2 linked regions of the Schizosaccharomyces pombe genome follow. The protein of the gene in region 2 interacts with the protein of the main gene of each other region in a pairwise test. Each region holds a gene or a part of one and is shown on either strand. Other genes may lie near its edges.

What was found.
Region 1: the proteins of noc1 (region 2) and ura6 interact in a two-hybrid assay, tested with the Schizosaccharomyces pombe proteins (one large-scale study listed by BioGRID).

Annotation. Positions count from the first base shown.
Region 1 is NC_003421.2:986,237-990,164, reverse strand, and holds ura6 (uridylate kinase), read right to left. Parts: upstream 1,811-3,928; 5' UTR 1,675-1,810; intron 1,322-1,674; 5' UTR 1,319-1,321; coding exon 743-1,318; 3' UTR 456-742; downstream 1-455. Other genes in the region: P-factor pheromone Map2, read left to right, coding at 3,481-3,928.
Region 2 is NC_003424.3:4,847,792-4,851,719, forward strand, and holds the start of noc1 (ribosome biogenesis protein Noc1), read right to left. Parts: upstream 1,742-3,928; 5' UTR 1,589-1,741; coding exon 1-1,588. Other genes in the region: mannan polymerase complex subunit Mnn9, read right to left, coding at 2,517-3,530.

The sequences.
Region 1 (3,928 bases), on a different chromosome or scaffold from region 2:
CGCATTCGAGAAGATTTATTTTAGTGCAATGTGTGGCACCTGTTTGTCAGGTAACTCGATTCCGACTAATCTTGTCTGTATGTCTGGTGTGGTTCATCTGTATGGGTATGTATGCCATCGTTAATGGTTGGATAGTCAGAGTAAATAGTTGAGTTGCAGGTAAATCAAGTCCTGCAAATGCCAGTATATTGTTTTGCTAATGTGCTGGTTGGTTATGAAAATTTACGGTTATTTGTTAGCAATGGTAGGAGAAAATTAGGGATTGTTTACCAAAACAACGTGAACAAATAGTTATAGTTTTAATTTAACTCATGAACATATTATCGGAAAAAATCTACTCATTTATGTCTGGGTTTAGCTCCCTTTATGGTTTCGTTTTGCAGTAGAATACACTATGGTATTTATTTTGTGCACTACAAACCGTGCTTTTTATGTGAACGTTTTGATGAAAACGTTCTAGAGATTGATTTATTATTCAATGTTAAAGTAACTCATTTTGCTATATGTATCTTTTTTTCAGCGAACTTTCGTTACTGAGCAGTTCAAGCAGTGATTTGGCATTATGGTATCAATAAAGACATATCATTAAGGCAAGGCTACGGAAAGAAAAAAGAAGGTTTTTAAATTAATATACAACAAATTAACCGTGATCGGACAGTATATTTGATGCAAAGATATAATGAAAGTTGGGAAAATAAGAATATAGCACTCAAATGATTGCCTTACAAAAGCATTGCTTTCTCTACAGGTAAGGTTGAAGTGCCTTTACGGTATCTTCAAAAACCGCATCGGGATCTTGCTCGGCATCGATGGTTATCAGACGATTTTGTGATTTCAGATATTCGACGACAGGCATGCTGGCTTTAGTATATGTAACAAAGCGTTTCTTGATCGACTCAATGTTGTCATCAGAACGGCCACTAGTCTTACCACGATGAATAAGACGCTTCAACATGGTTTCCTGACCACAACGGAAATAAAGAGCAAACTTAGCGGGGCAGACCGACTTTTCAAAACCTTCGCATTGATCCATCTCACGGGGGAAACCGTCAATCAAGAACTTGTCAATTCCTTTATCATGGCATTCCTTCATTTTAGTCTCTAAAAGGGATATAGTTATTTCCATGGGCACAATTTTACCATCTTTGATATATTCTTTAATAAGGTTTCCGTATTTGCTGCCAGGACGATTTTGCTCTTCGCGTAGACAATCTCCAGCGCTAATATGTACGAATTTGTCAAATTTCTCGGCCAAACGATCGCATTGTGTACCCTTTCCAGCACCAGGACCGCCTAAAACAAAAATCACGTTATACATTGTCTACAACACATTAGTAAATTGGGAATGCTGGTTATAAAATAAGGAATGAAATGAGCACACAAGTTCCTTTTTTTTTCTCTTCTCAAATGTTTACGCGTTTGTGTCACAGTCGTAAAAAAAAAAACCTTTTAAAGAATGTAACGATGAAATTACTGTCTCAATAACCAACGCAACCAGAAACACACTAACCCATACCAATAAGGATTTGCAAAATAGGTGAAACACTATTTGAGCGGGTAAAAAAGTGTTGGAGAATTAACTTTTTCATGTTTCTTTCAGCATGAGTCTTCAAAAAGGCATCCGTTTGCACTAAAATGGAAGAGGAAAAAAATTTCGACATTTACGCTACATACCTATTTAATTTATGGTCTGAGTGGAAAAACAGTAAAAAAATAGAAAAGCGCGCTAAAACAAATTAATATACAAGGAGACTTTGTACTGTTGAAGTATATGGAGTCTACTCGTACAATAATACAGTAGTATGTTGTAAGCAACTTTGAACACGAATCTAAACGCAACCAACAACTTAAGATGGAAGAGCCAAAACATATGGATGGGCCGCGGAATAACCGCGGCCCATGCCCTGAGCAGAATAGAAAAAAAAGATTTTTTTTTTCTTTCATAAAATTAAAAAATTCAAGACAATGTATGAATAAGAACCTCTCGATCTAGCATCCAACCTATAAATGAATATCTCTGTTGCATGTTTGCTATATTGAAAATGTCGCTAAGGAGTATCGAGATCCCAGATTAGAGAAGCGTTTACCATGAGTTACAGAATCCTTTTATTACACCAATTCTTAAATCATCTCCAGTCTATAGCCGCAAGTATTGCAAACGTTGGATTTTGCGATCAATGCTTTCCATTTAACGCGCTAAAGCAATTTAACAAATACAATGGTATAGCGCGAAGTCATAATAAAGGAGTAAAATTATATTAAACAGTTTATTAGTATAATGATATGGTTATATGACTTTAGAACGAAAGGAAGCATGTTAACGCCGAAAAGAATTAAAAAAGCTGTAAAGAAGCAGCAGTTTATTCGTTATTTTCACCAATCCTTTTACTAAAACCTTTTCGAAATGTACTCTTATTTTTTGAAGGTATAATGAAAAGGTGGGATTCTCGGAACTAGCACTACTATGGTTTTAGCAAGCCCTGATTCTCATGTTCGAGGGAAAAAAAGCACTAATGGTATCAAACAATTTCCTACTATCATATTACTATCCTTTCCTTGGAAATTAAATGCTAGCAACGGCAATCCTTTGTACTTTCTCCGTGCACAATATCTAGTACACCAAATACTGGCCCACTAGTCGGAGGGGAACGGGTATTTGTTTATTCTCCTCTTTTTTGCGTGCTCCATCTCCTTTGAAGCTCTATTTTAGTTGCTTTGCAGTATCTATATCTGCTACAAGTAGCCAGAGGCGTTCTATGCCTTCAATCTGAAGTTCATTTTTTCATTCTATGGCGGTATGCTATTGGTTGAGTACACACAAAGAACAATGGATAGAGTTTTATTGTTTACATTATCAAAAAACCTTTAACCAATAAAAAAAATAGCCGCTACCAGAAAAAAGTCGCTTAAAATTAATAAGTCTTTTGATTGGTCGCTGTACATAGAAGTTCATTTTGGGTGGACGACAAAAAAATAAGCGAATATCTTCAACCAATCAGGATAAACAGCGATAAAACGAAAACGGGGAAGTCATTAAAAAATGGCGGTTAATGTCAACAATGAACAGTTTGAAAGCATAGAATTCCAGATTTGAATTGAGGGAAACGGAGCACTACAAAGATGTATAAATACAGGCATTCTGTCCCAGAAGAAAACCAGAATTCGTTCAAGTCTTCTATTTTACATATTCACTCTTTCTATTTCTTATTCTTCACTCTACAAGAACTCGCGTTGGGTGTGAATTTACATCCCTCTTGTCAACAAACCTGCTCCGTTAGCTAATTTTCTGTAAATTTGCTTCGATCTTTCTTATTCTAATCTTTTAATCCTTTTTCTTTTGGAATTTTGCCTTTTTAAACTCTCCCTTTTTTTGAATCAGTCAACAAATTATAATTTTCTTCTTTTATTTGCTAGTTCATCGCTTAAACTATCTTTCTTTTTCTAACTTATCAACGAAATTTTATTTTTTTCACATACATTATGAAGATCACCGCTGTCATTGCCCTTTTATTCTCACTTGCTGCTGCCTCACCTATTCCAGTTGCCGATCCTGGTGTGGTTTCAGTTAGCAAGTCATATGCTGATTTCCTTCGTGTTTACCAAAGTTGGAACACTTTTGCTAATCCTGATAGACCCAACTTGAAAAAGCGCGAATTCGAAGCTGCTCCCGCAAAAACTTATGCTGATTTCCTTCGTGCTTATCAAAGTTGGAACACTTTTGTTAATCCTGACAGACCCAATTTGAAAAAGCGTGAGTTTGAAGCTGCCCCAGAGAAGAGTTATGCTGATTTCCTTCGTGCTTACCATAGTTGGAACACTTTTGTTAATCCTGACAGACCCAACTTGAAAAAGCGCGAATTCGAAGCTGCTCCCGCAAAAACTTATGCTGATTTCCTTCGTGCTTACCAAAGTTGGAACACTTTTGTTA
Region 2 (3,928 bases):
CAACATCCTTAAAGACCTCTTCCTCATCTCCATCAAAGTCATGGATTTCAGCATTTGTAAACATAGAACGCAATGCTGTCGTGGCGATAACAAGTTGGTGCATCACATGAAATAATCCAGTGACTAAAGGAGGTTGCTGCCACGCTGAGACCTGAACCATTCTTTTTATAAATGCTCGAACACGTGGAATGTTGTTGTCTATAATAAGTGACTTATAAAGTAAATTCAGATAAAGAGACTGTTTCGACGACGTTGTTAGACGTGGGTCAAGTAATGATTCGTAAAGGCTTTTATAATAACGGTCCGAAATGAAATCACGGCTAGCAGATGCTTGAAAAATTAGCATTAAAACTTGAACTGACGTATTAAAAGAAGCAGTATGGGTGATGGCAAATAGGGTATTCATGTGCTTGTCAAATTTTTCAGAATTCACTTCTGCAAAGGGATAAGCACGGTTGACGCCTGTCAATACCGCTGATATCACGCGTGAATTAACGTTTTCTTCAGCCTCTTTCCTTAAATCTTCATCCTTCTTTCGTTTTTGTGACTTTTTGTTTTTTGAATCTGACTGCAGAGACTTTTTTTCCAAAGTAGGAGCATCAGCAACCTCTTCCTTCTCTAAAGCAAACAAGAGTTTAGTAAAAAAAACAAAATATATTTCTATTAATAAATTAGCAACGTCGACTTGTTTATGAGTCAAAACAGTTTGATTCAACGTTATCAATGTGTAGTAACAACTGGTACGGCTTGTAGAAGGTGCAAAGATGAATCTTTCAATTTCCTTAGTAATCACAAGCTTCATTGCAGGATGACTAGCTTCGAGCTGGAGAATTGAATAAGAAGCTTTAGAGGCAATTTTATTCTCCTTATCACCGAGTTTATTAATCAACAACTTGAGCAAATTTTGTTCTTGTTCAGGTTTAGCCTTCAATAAGTCATAGATAGTAGAAACCATTTGACTTTTTACAAATAGAAGTGCGTCAAAAGACAAAGCTTCAATGATTTGAATGTATTTAAAATAAAATGACTTCAAAAAACTTTCAAAAGCCCATACCATAAGATGTTTGTCTGTAACGTTTTTAGACCCCAAACAAGATTGCTGTTTCATATACTTTAACTTTCTGTCTGGAAGAAGTCCTCCGATAAAAAGGTCTTTGAGAGTGGTAATAGCTTGAGTAGCTTCGTTACGAGATTTTTTGGAACAAATAGAAAGCAAAGTTTCCAATGCCTTAACTGCATGTATGGGAGATTCCTGAACAAGTAAGGTGAGTGCGGAAATACGATCACTGGTGGTACCAGAACTAATGAGAGTTTGTAACATCCGTTTGTCAGCTGTTCCATGTCCCAGAGTTTCTGAAAACCTTTCTGAGTCTTCTTTCAAAAGCAATAATCCACGCGTCTCTAATTCAGAGACATGATCTACGTTTACAAACTTTTTATCCTCATGCAATTCTGGCAAAGGAATATTATACCATGGAACTCCGGGATCAAACATGACCCCCTGAGGTTTAGTATCAATTGTACCTTCTCCTTCTTCATTAAAAATAATCTTCTGCCCTCGTTTTGGTTTGGGGTACAACGTTGCCATCTCGCGAATTTTTTTTTTGCTTTGTTCTCCTTCCTTAAATGATAAACCAGTCTTCTAGGAATTCAACAAAAATAAAAGGGTAATGTTTTATAACAGTCAGAAGATCAAAAGGGCCTTATTTGTAACAATTATTAAAATTAATTTTAGAGGGGTGAATACTGGCAGAAGTCAATAGCGACACTAACCAGTCCTTCAGAACAAAATAACGTACGCTAATGTTATACGCTAAACAAGGAAAGCATTCAAATTTTGAAAATACTTTTTGGGATATTGTTTTTGTACTAGAACATATTATAAAAATTTAAAGTGGCTACATTTGTAAAAGTAATACTCAATTTTGTACTACATTAAAACCATACAAAAAATCCAGCTACCATATTCATACAGTGACTTGACTACTGCAAAATAAATTAACAATTGTCAGCATAATAGATGTTTTATAAGAATAAAATATAGACCAGATTATCATGCAATTGGCGAAATTTTTGCAACGAATGTTAATGAATTAGTGTTCACCAGTCAATGAGCTGCAACTCTGGGTTAATGAGTTACGAATGGCCGATATGCCATAAAGGAAAATTTCAAATGCAAGTATTAATGAGAGAGAAAAAAAAGAAAGACATGCCAGTTACAGCATTTTCGCATTTTAAGGCAGAAACAGCTCCAGCAAACAAGACAGAGAAAAGACTTCTAACGCAGTAGAATCCTAAGAAGATTCCTAATTAACACATTTATGGTTGTCTACACATAAGCGAGCATGATTAGATAATGCAAAGCTTAACTCCTCGTGGTTGCTTACTTTACAAGTACAAAGGATTTTTTTCTTTTCTTTAAATAAACGATTTAGCCAATATGGGTTAAACGGCATGAACGTTCACAATGCATGCAAAGCACATGCAAATGAAAAAAGCAATCCTAATCCATCCCCCTACTCATTATGATGGAACACTAAATAATAGGGTAATCCATAAACTCCATGACCTAAACGCTTAGCCATCTTTGCAAAGCCCTCACTTTCAATAAGGTGGTAAAAAGGGAAGGTTGGGAATAATGCGCCATCCCTATGAACACTTGCCTTCACCAGTAAAGCAGTGGTGCCTACACCGTCAAGAGCCATAATTGTAGATGGATCTTTGTGCTCCTCATAAATTTTAGCCATCAACATTCGATAAGTAGGCAATTCAGCATATCCTTCAAGCAAAATCTCATCCCTGTCCATGTGACTTGCAAGCTCCTGCGCGGTTTGAGAATCGACCCAACTATTGAAGTCATAAGGAGTTAGTTTATCGCCTTGCTTTTGGAAACAATTAGCTACCAACACGTCTTCATTGTGTTCCGCCAAATCTTGGATTAACGTGGAGGGAGTTTCTACAATGTCAGAATCAAGCCACAAAACCCAAGAGGTACTAGGTTTTAGAGTGCTTAACAGCAATGTATTTCTGGTAGCAGCTAACTTTCCCCGACGCTCCTTCTGGGCAGAAAATTTATGCCGTTCGGCCTCTGATTGCCCTGAAGAAAGATCAGAGTCTTGGATTAAAATTTTAACATCGGCAAAACGCTTATCGCCTGGACCTTTCTGAACAGCATTGATAGCATTCCGAAGTTCACGATGAACTTTTGCACCGTCCTTTGACGAAGGAACAATAAACCCTAAAGAAATTAAATTCCTCGGATAGTCAAGCTCAAGAAGATTTTTCCAATACTGTGGATAAAATCGAGCAATAGGAGTTAAGATTAACACCTCCTCTTTGTTACGAATGGGATCGGAAGATTCCGTAATTTTGTTCATATCGTATATTTCGTAAGAATTCCCCCCACGGTTTTCAATCTGAACTTTGGCATTTGAATTGACAGATGGAGTAAATAGGTAATAGATGAAAGTAATACCGAGGGCCACAAAAAGGAGCTGCCCTACAATTCTAGATTTATTGTACACGCGCATCTTAAAGTTTATAAATAAAAATGGAAGGGCACAATTTAATAAGAGTAATAAAAATAGAGAGTTAAAAATTAAAATCAACCCGAATCTGGATGTTGTTTTGTGGGTCTAAACAGAATCGAGTTCTTAAATAATTATGCGAATTCCTTAAAAAAGCAACGGCTAACAGCTGTAGTCGCGAAAGTAACACCTTATATATATAAATGTATTTCAACTAGTGAATACCCCGTTAATAAATACTTAAGATAATTTAAGCATTAATACAAACAAAGGATTATGTCGTACGTTCACGAATCAAGCTTGTACAGGTTTTGCCCCTATCGAGTAAAAACAAAGCCAAAGAAAGAAGTATTAAAAACGCTTTTTCGAGTAAAAGAAACTGTTTTTAAAATAAAAAATTT